Linked DNA regions of Canis lupus familiaris. The protein of the gene in region 2 purifies or fractionates together with the protein of the main gene of each other region. This does not show direct contact. Links are inferred from orthologs where the notes say so. Each region holds a gene or a part of one and is shown on either strand. Other genes may lie near its edges.

Region 1 (4,148 bases), on a different chromosome or scaffold from region 2:
AAGATTAATATTCGGTATATGGAAATTAGTCAATATAATTGTTCTTAGTGTGGAAGAGTAGATTCAGATGGCCCAGGGTTCAAATCCTGACTATAATTTAGTAGCTGAGCAATTTTCAAAAAGTTACTTAATACTCTTGTGTCCCAGCAGCCCTGGTAGCTCGGCGGTTTAGCACTGCTTCAGCCCAGGGCCCGATCCTGGACCCCCAGGATCGAGTCCCATGTCAGGCTCCTTGCATGGAGCCTGCTTCTCCCTCTGCCTGTGTCTCTGCCTCTCTCTCTCTCTCTCTCTGTCTCTCATGAATAAATAAAATCTTTAAAAAATACCTTTCTGTCTTAGTTTCCTCATCTCTCAAGTGGGATTAAAAATAATATATAACTCATAAGATTTTTTGTGAGGATTAAGTAAGTTAATACATGGAGAAGTAATTTAAAATCCAATGTCAAGTGCTCAACACACTTTAGGAAATGTATTGGTAATGTAATAAATTCAGTAAATGTACTGGACACGGGTAAATTGTTCAACGTATTATCAACCTGTGTTTTACATGGTAGAGCAAAGCACAGACAGAACAAAATGATGAAGGAATATACCTACTCATGTGAGGCTAAATGACAGAAAGAAACAGGGTGATGGGGAAGAATGATAGCCCTTTTGGGTAACTAACTTTGAATGAAGCCTCTGCACAGTCTGTGTTGAGAGACATAGTTTGAAGACTTGCTGTGTATTTTACAAGACCGGACAGAAGAGCACCCTGGATGGATCCCTATGAATTACTTGACTCAGTGCTGGAGTCAAGCAAAAGGCTTATTTTTATTAAACATAGACTTGAGAATAAGTGTTTGGGGAAGTAGAAAGGCTGGGGAGAAAGTTAATAGAGCCCCCTCTTAGACATAAAGCATGATGACAAAAATGCTGTGTGACTTCCTCTTATCATCTCATAAGTTTGTCAGAAACTAGGAACCAGAAACTACAATACCACTGTAAGAACTGCCCCCACTTTCCTGTGGGTTGAGTTTATTTTCTCTGCCCATATCCAAAACAGTGGTTATACCTAATAATGTTAGACCTCAAACACCAAAGAGCTTGAGGACACATTTCAGTAGAATAACTTTCAGGCGCTGTGCAGCAGAGACTGCAGCATCGAGTCCCGAGGAAAGAGGAAGCAGGTGCATGGGTGCCTGAGGCCCAAGACAAGGAAGAAAAAAAAGAGAGACACAGAAGATGTTCTGGACCAAAAGATGCTCTTTTCCAAACTGGAAAGAGCCTGCACTGGACACCCAAACATATTGTCCTAACTTCCTAAAGATGGTGCTACAAGATTTTTCAGAAAAAAAAAAAAAAAAATGGCTCTTGGAGCACTGAATCCTCAGAACCTAGAAATGTTGGCACGTTTGGTTCCTATGAAGAGAACGTTTGATGACTGCATGGTAGGAGTGTCTGAGTATATTTTATTGATAAACATGGTCAAAAGAGCACAGTTCGGGCCCTTGTTTCTCACACCAAAACTTTTGGAGAAAACTTGACATTTTAAATAATCAGAGGAAGTGTTAATCACACTCCCACTAGCACCCTCAGGATGCAGCTAGCACTGAATTATCCATTTTGGATTTACTAACACTGATTGTCTTTCACTACAATTTTCACAGTGAAAATATGTACAGAGGCTTTCATCTGTGCTAAGATGAGCCATATGACGTCTCCTGCAGTTACTGGTGTCTTCCTGTCAGCTATGCTTCCTGTTAATCTGGAATATTTGGAAGCAATTTTTCCCAAGCCTGAACTGCTGTAAGTCTACAGAGTGCACACTCGGAAGGCGTTCCAGGCAGGAAAATGGCTGGCTCCTCGTTCTTGCCCCTTACCTAGATGTGCAGAGGCCAGAACACAGGACAGATTCCATCTTCTGCATTCTGTGGAGTCTCCCATTTCCTAAGTAATTTCCTGTCCTGATGCTGGGTTTCTGTTCGACCTTATTAGCGAGATACCAAGTCATGAGACTCCCGCACACTCAGTTCCCATCCGTGCTGCCAGGCTCTGTGCCCTCACGATGACGACGCACGGATTTCTGCGGCCCGAGCGGTTCCGGAGTGGGAGTGGGGGAAGGAGCCCACGCGGCTGGGAACCTGTTTACCACACCACATCCCCCAACCACACTTTTTCGCAGCAGCGGGAGAAACTGGCATCTTCTTGCGTGAGTGTTTCATTAATGCCCTGCTGGAAGTACATCCGCTCCCTCCACTTGGCGGGTAGCGACAGCATCTCAGAGCTTTGCAGAAGCTGAAAATGTCATCAAACGGCATCCTGTCCCTTTCGCTCCGCGGCTCCCCCTCCCCCGGGGGCCGTCAGCTGGTGGCCCAGGGGGTGCGCATCTCCCCGCCGCCAGCCTTCTGCTGCTGCCCCGGACCGCGCCGAGGCGCGGCGCAGCGGGACGCCCCTCCCGGCCCACGAGGTGGGCGACGAGGTGATGACACCACGACCCCTCCTCCTCTGCCCTGCGCCCCCGGGCTCCGCCGCGGAAGCTGCAGCCGGGGGCTGCCGCGGGGGGGACTCCGACCGCCTTAGGGCGCAGGGCGCAGGGCGCACGCCCGAGCCTGGGGAGGGGGCCGAGCACCCCTGCTGCGCGGCTGCGGCGCGGGCGCCCCGGGGGCGCGGAGGTCGAGGGGCGCGGAGGAGCGGCCCGCAGAGCGCGACCCCCCCCCCCCCCGCCCCGGTTACCTGGGCGCGCTGGGCGGCGGCGGAGCGCGGCGGCTGCAGCCGGGGTCTGCGGGGCCGAGGCTCGAGCGGCTCCGAGGGCGGCGGGCCGGGCGCGCGCAGGATGTGCTGTCTCACGCTGCGCCCGGCGCTCGGCTCGCGCTCCGCGGGGACCCGGCCCCGCCTCTCCCCGCCAGCCTGACACTGACAGCTCCCTGCGAGCCCCGGGCTGCGGGCTGGCCCCGCCCCCGGCCCACGCCCTCCACGCCCCGCGCGCCTCCCGCGGGGGGGGCCTCGGCTCGCGGCTCCACGGGGCTCGCCAGGAGGGGGTGGCGCCGGCCCGACGGCTGGGGGCTGCGGGGGACCGGGCGCGGGTGTCAGTCGGTCTGCCTCGGTGCGGGACTCGCCTAAGTTGCTGCAAACAGAAGAGCTGCAGTGTTTGGGGAGCTGCTGCTGACATTCCGACACCGACACCGACACCGAGCAACTTTCACTCCCAGACAACTACTTTAAGGTCAGTGTAAGTAAGTAGAGAAAGCTCAGATCTCTCTGCTACACACAAAGACATAGGTCTGATTTGTTCCTGTTCCTACCTCCCCCCCCCCCCGAGGAAAAAGATTCTATATCTATATCTATCTATAGATAAGAATCCCAGCTTTTAAAAATCTGGGTGACCGTTCTTGAACTCCCCCAAAGCTTACTGTAACAGCTAAGTTTAGAGACCCAGAAATGGAGCTTGGGATTCTAATCTACGCAGGATTGGCATCATTTTGTTCGTTTTTCATTGTGCTTTTAGAGTATCTGTGGGATCACCGTCCACATTAGCATGGAAGTTACTGGAGGGCAATTTACTATCTAATTCACTGCCATATCCCCAATACCTACAATAGTGTTTTTTTTTTTAAGATTTTATTCATTTATTCATGACAATGAGAGAGAGAGAGAGAGAGAGAGAGAGAGGAAGAAGCAGGCTCCATGCAGGGAGCCCAACGTGAGACTCCATCCCGGGTCTCCAGGATCACTCCCGGGGCCAAAGGCGGCCCTAAACCCCTGGGCTACCGGGGCAGCCCCTTACAATACTGTTTGATGCATAATAGATGTTCAGTGACTATTTACGAATTTATTTAATCGACTACTACAGTAATTTCAAAATAAAAATAGTAACTTCAGAATAAAAATAGATGTGATTGTAAATATAATGTCATACTTTTCTATAAAATGGTCACCCTTTTTCCAATTTTTCCAATTTTGCCTTCCTGGCAAACTATTGTGACCATATTATAGCTAAAAATGAGACAAGTGACATGTTTTTAGATGAAGGAATTCAAGATATTTCAGAGAAAAAAATTATGAAACAAATACTTGCCACTGCTATGTATTGGATATTTAATAGATGTCAAACTCTACATACATTTTTCATTAGCATTGTGTAGTAGGTAAAATGTCATACCTATAGT
Region 2 (3,558 bases):
CCGGCTTTCCGGGAGGACCTCGTGGCCTCTGTAGTGCAATTTGTGTGAGGTGTGCTCAGCACATGGGATGGTTCCAGCTGCTCCAGAACTTGTCCTTTCGGTGACCCTGTGGGGGTGGGGGGAACTAAGGAGCAGGTGGTTTGTCCGCATGCCTAGGGTTGGGCTGGTAGCCCTAGGTCCTGACCTCTGACCTCTTCACTTGTGTGGATGGGCCCAGCTAGCATCTGTCCTGGGACAAGGCCTTGAGACCCATTTTGGAGATGGAGAAGCAGAATCTGGGGTGGCTGGGGAGCAGTTGGTTGGAGGCAGTCAGGTCTGGTGCACAGACTGAGGCCTTCCAGGGATTCGCTGGGGGAGGGGAAGGGGGTCCTTGTTTGGCAAGGGGGGGCTGCCCTTGAGAGGCTGGGCTGGAGGCAGTCCACCTCACCTGCCCAGTGGGGCCCTCCCAGGTGACCTTTCTGCCCAGGGGCCCTGTCCTTGCTGCCCCAGGTGGACTGCACGTGCCTTGAGCCCTGGAGTAAATGACAGACATCCCAGTGGAATTCTGTGCCCTGGAACCCAGGGCAGGAGCCAGGGAGGCTTGGTTGCTGCCTGGTGGTGCCTGGAGCTGGCTGGAAGGGCGGGTAGGGGTCAGGAGCAGCCTTGCCAGGCTCCAGGTGGGGGTTGTGGTGTGTAGGTGAGGCAGCAGGGGTGGAGTCCCACACAGAGGAGGAAGAGGGTGGGTCTCCTGGGAACCGACCCCACCAGGAGGTGCACAGCCCCCAGGGGGTTGGGGGTCTAGGCCGCGTGTCTACAGGTGGACCCCCTGCCTGGACGGCTGGCTCAGGTGAACTCAGGCCAGCCTTGGTCTCTGCAGCTGCACACGGGACACACCTGCCAGGTGCTTGGGGGTCTCTGGACCAGGAGAAGGTCCCTGGCTGCCCCCTCCTGTCCCCGCCAAGGGCCGGCCCTCCTTCTGGCCACAGCAGCTGTGGCAGCATCCATGTCCCTGCAGATGCCACATTGCTTGACCAGACCAGCTGCGGTGTCTGCCTGGAGACAGCAGGTCCCGCCTGGGCTGTTGCTGCTAACCTGCCTAGAACCTGCTGGGGTGGGAGGGGAGACACCCCCCCCCAAGCCCCAAGACCCCTCCATGTCCTTTGGCTGGCTTGTGCAGTTGTCACAGGCCCCTCGTGAGGGCTGGGCCCTGTATTCCCTGTCCTGCTACTCTTTCCCCATACCCAGAGTCCAGTGGCCATGCTCCAGGTGGCAGGACCCATGGCCTAGGGCATCAGCACTGCTTTGGAACCTTCCAGGCAGGGAGTCTCCTTGGCATGACCTCACTGCTCACCCCCCATACACCCACTTGGGGGCCTCAGTCCTTCTTGGGGTGGACAGGGCTGGTGAGTAGAGGCCTGGCTTGGCCCGTGTGAGGACAGCATTTTGCCCAGAGTGCGTGGGTGTGTGTTTGTCTTTGCACAGTTCCATGTGTCCGTGCGTTCGCCTCTGCATGGTTTCCTCATGGAAGGGGAGGGTCTACTCCCACTCAGGGCGCCTGGGGGCTGAGGCATGAGTGTGCTAGGTGCCGGGTTGGAGGCTTCGAGGGCACGGAGAGGGAGCCTGCCAGGCCCCCGAGTTCTGGTCCTCCCGCGCCCACCTTCTCTGGCCTGTCAGGACAGGACGTCCCCTGCTTTCTGCCTGTGCCTGTCCTCAGGGCTGCAGTTGACAGGCCACCTGGAAGAAGATGCTTCTTTGGGGGAACCAAACCACCCAGTGGCCAGTTGGAACTGGTTTGAGTGCTCAGAGTTGGGCGTGTGCTTGGCAGAGTTGCCGTGTCCAATTTGGGCCCAAAATGCAGGCATCTGGGTCTCACGTCAGTGGATGGTGCTCCCTCGCCTGCCCTGCCACGTGGTGTTTGGGGCCAGCTTGTGAGCTGGGGACTCCCTTCACTGCCCACAGGACTCACGTGCCCTCTGTCAGCCCCAGGGCTTATGCTTGGAGGCTGTGCTGTCCCTGGAGGAGGGTGGGGTGACTTCTGGGGACCCCATAGACCTCATGGGCATGTCACACTGCATGGGGAAGGCTGGATCTGCCCAGGCCACAGGGGGAGCTGCTCATGGGTCTCACCACGGCCTGTGGGTCGTGATGTGCAAACCTGTGGCCTGGGTGGGTTTTAGGCCTTGGCTCCCACCCCTCCAGGGGCCACGTCAGGCCTTGTCCCACGAGTGTGGGCGAAGGCAAGGGGGATGGGCCAGCACGTACTGCATGTGCACGGGAAGTGAGGTAACTCACTCTGGGCCTGCTGAAGCCACAGCGCGCCATTGGCAGATGCTCTGCAGCATGCAGGTTACATTTCGGTCAAGGGCAAAGCCAGTGTGCAGCTTCCCATGTACAGCCTGGCGCTCGGTTCTGGGGTGCAGAGGGTCCAGGAGGTCAGGGTGGGCTGTCAGCATGGCCATTTGTTTCGGCACAGAAGGGAGCTGGCCCAGTGGACAGGGCTCGGGGAGCCACTCACTGCCCTGCGACACAACAGGACAGCCCAGAATGTCCCAGGATGGAGGCCAGGGGACCCAGCCAGGCCCTGGTCAGGGCGCTTGTGGCAGCAGGCTAGGAATCCCTGAGTCCTGGTTGCCACACTTGCCTCACGTCAGTGTTGACCCTGAATCCTCAAGCCCCTTCCCTGAGATAATCCACATCCCTGACTACTCACTTAACCTGTGCACACGTCAGGTACCATCCCAGGTGCACTCTGGATGCTCCGTCACTGCCCCCGGTGCCCGCCCCTTCTCCTCCTCCTCTGCCTGCAGGTCGGTCTGTTCTGAACACCTGGAGTCACACAACCATAACCATGCATCTGGTCTCCTTCTCTTGTGGTGGGGGTCCCAGGTTCCTGCACGTCACAGCTGTGGCATCACCTTCTTCTTATGGCTACATGACACCCCATTGTGTGGACCGACCACGTGTTGTTTCCCTGTTTGTCAGGCGGGCTTCTGGGGAGTTTGCATACTTGGTACCGTGTGGACCTGCATTTTCGTTTCTCGGATACAAGCAGTGGGGCACGGTGCTGAGTCCGAGGGCACACCTGGGGCACACTTCCCGGCTCCCCAGGGCCCTAAGTCACTTTCGTGGCCACTGCCCACACAGATCAACCAGAATGTGGAGACCCAGCGTGGCCGCCTGCGGGATGACATTAAGGAGTACAAGTTCCGCGAGGCTCGCCTGCTGCAGGACTACTCGGAGCTGGAGGAGGAGAACATCAGCCTGCAGAAGCAGGTGTCTGTGCTTAGGCAGAACCAGGCAAGTATCTGGCTACGGCCTCCGTGCTCCATGGCACGCCCCTGCCTTCCCCACAGCCCAGCTTAGGGCCGCGTGGCGTGGATGCGGGGTGGGGGGTGGCCATGGGGTCCCCAGTCAGCCCCTGAGGAAACAAATACCAGAGGTGAAGCAGAGGGGACACCGGAGCCCAGGGGCAGGCTGTCCAGCTCCATCTGTCCGCAGCAGTAGCAGGATGCACCCATGACCCCTGGAGCCCTGGACCCGTCCCTCCCACTGTCCGTGGTCTGCCAGCCCCTTGTCTGA

Evidence for each region.
Region 1: the proteins of BICD2 (region 2) and DYNC1I1 purify together in Homo sapiens (affinity purification with western blotting; 4 studies listed by BioGRID and IntAct, with this or other methods). This does not show direct contact. The link is inferred for Canis lupus familiaris from reciprocal best matches to the Homo sapiens genes BICD2 and DYNC1I1.

Annotation. Positions count from the first base shown.
Region 1 is NC_049235.1:20,925,960-20,930,107, reverse strand, and holds the start of DYNC1I1 (cytoplasmic dynein 1 intermediate chain 1), read right to left. Parts: upstream 2,811-4,148; 5' UTR 2,716-2,810; intron 1-2,715. UniProt on the Homo sapiens protein: Acts as one of several non-catalytic accessory components of the cytoplasmic dynein 1 complex that are thought to be involved in linking dynein to cargos and to adapter proteins that regulate dynein function.
Region 2 is NC_049222.1:99,445,800-99,449,357, forward strand, and holds part of BICD2 (protein bicaudal D homolog 2), read left to right. Parts: intron 1-3,123; coding exon 3,124-3,276; intron 3,277-3,558. UniProt on the Homo sapiens protein: Acts as an adapter protein linking the dynein motor complex to various cargos and converts dynein from a non-processive to a highly processive motor in the presence of dynactin.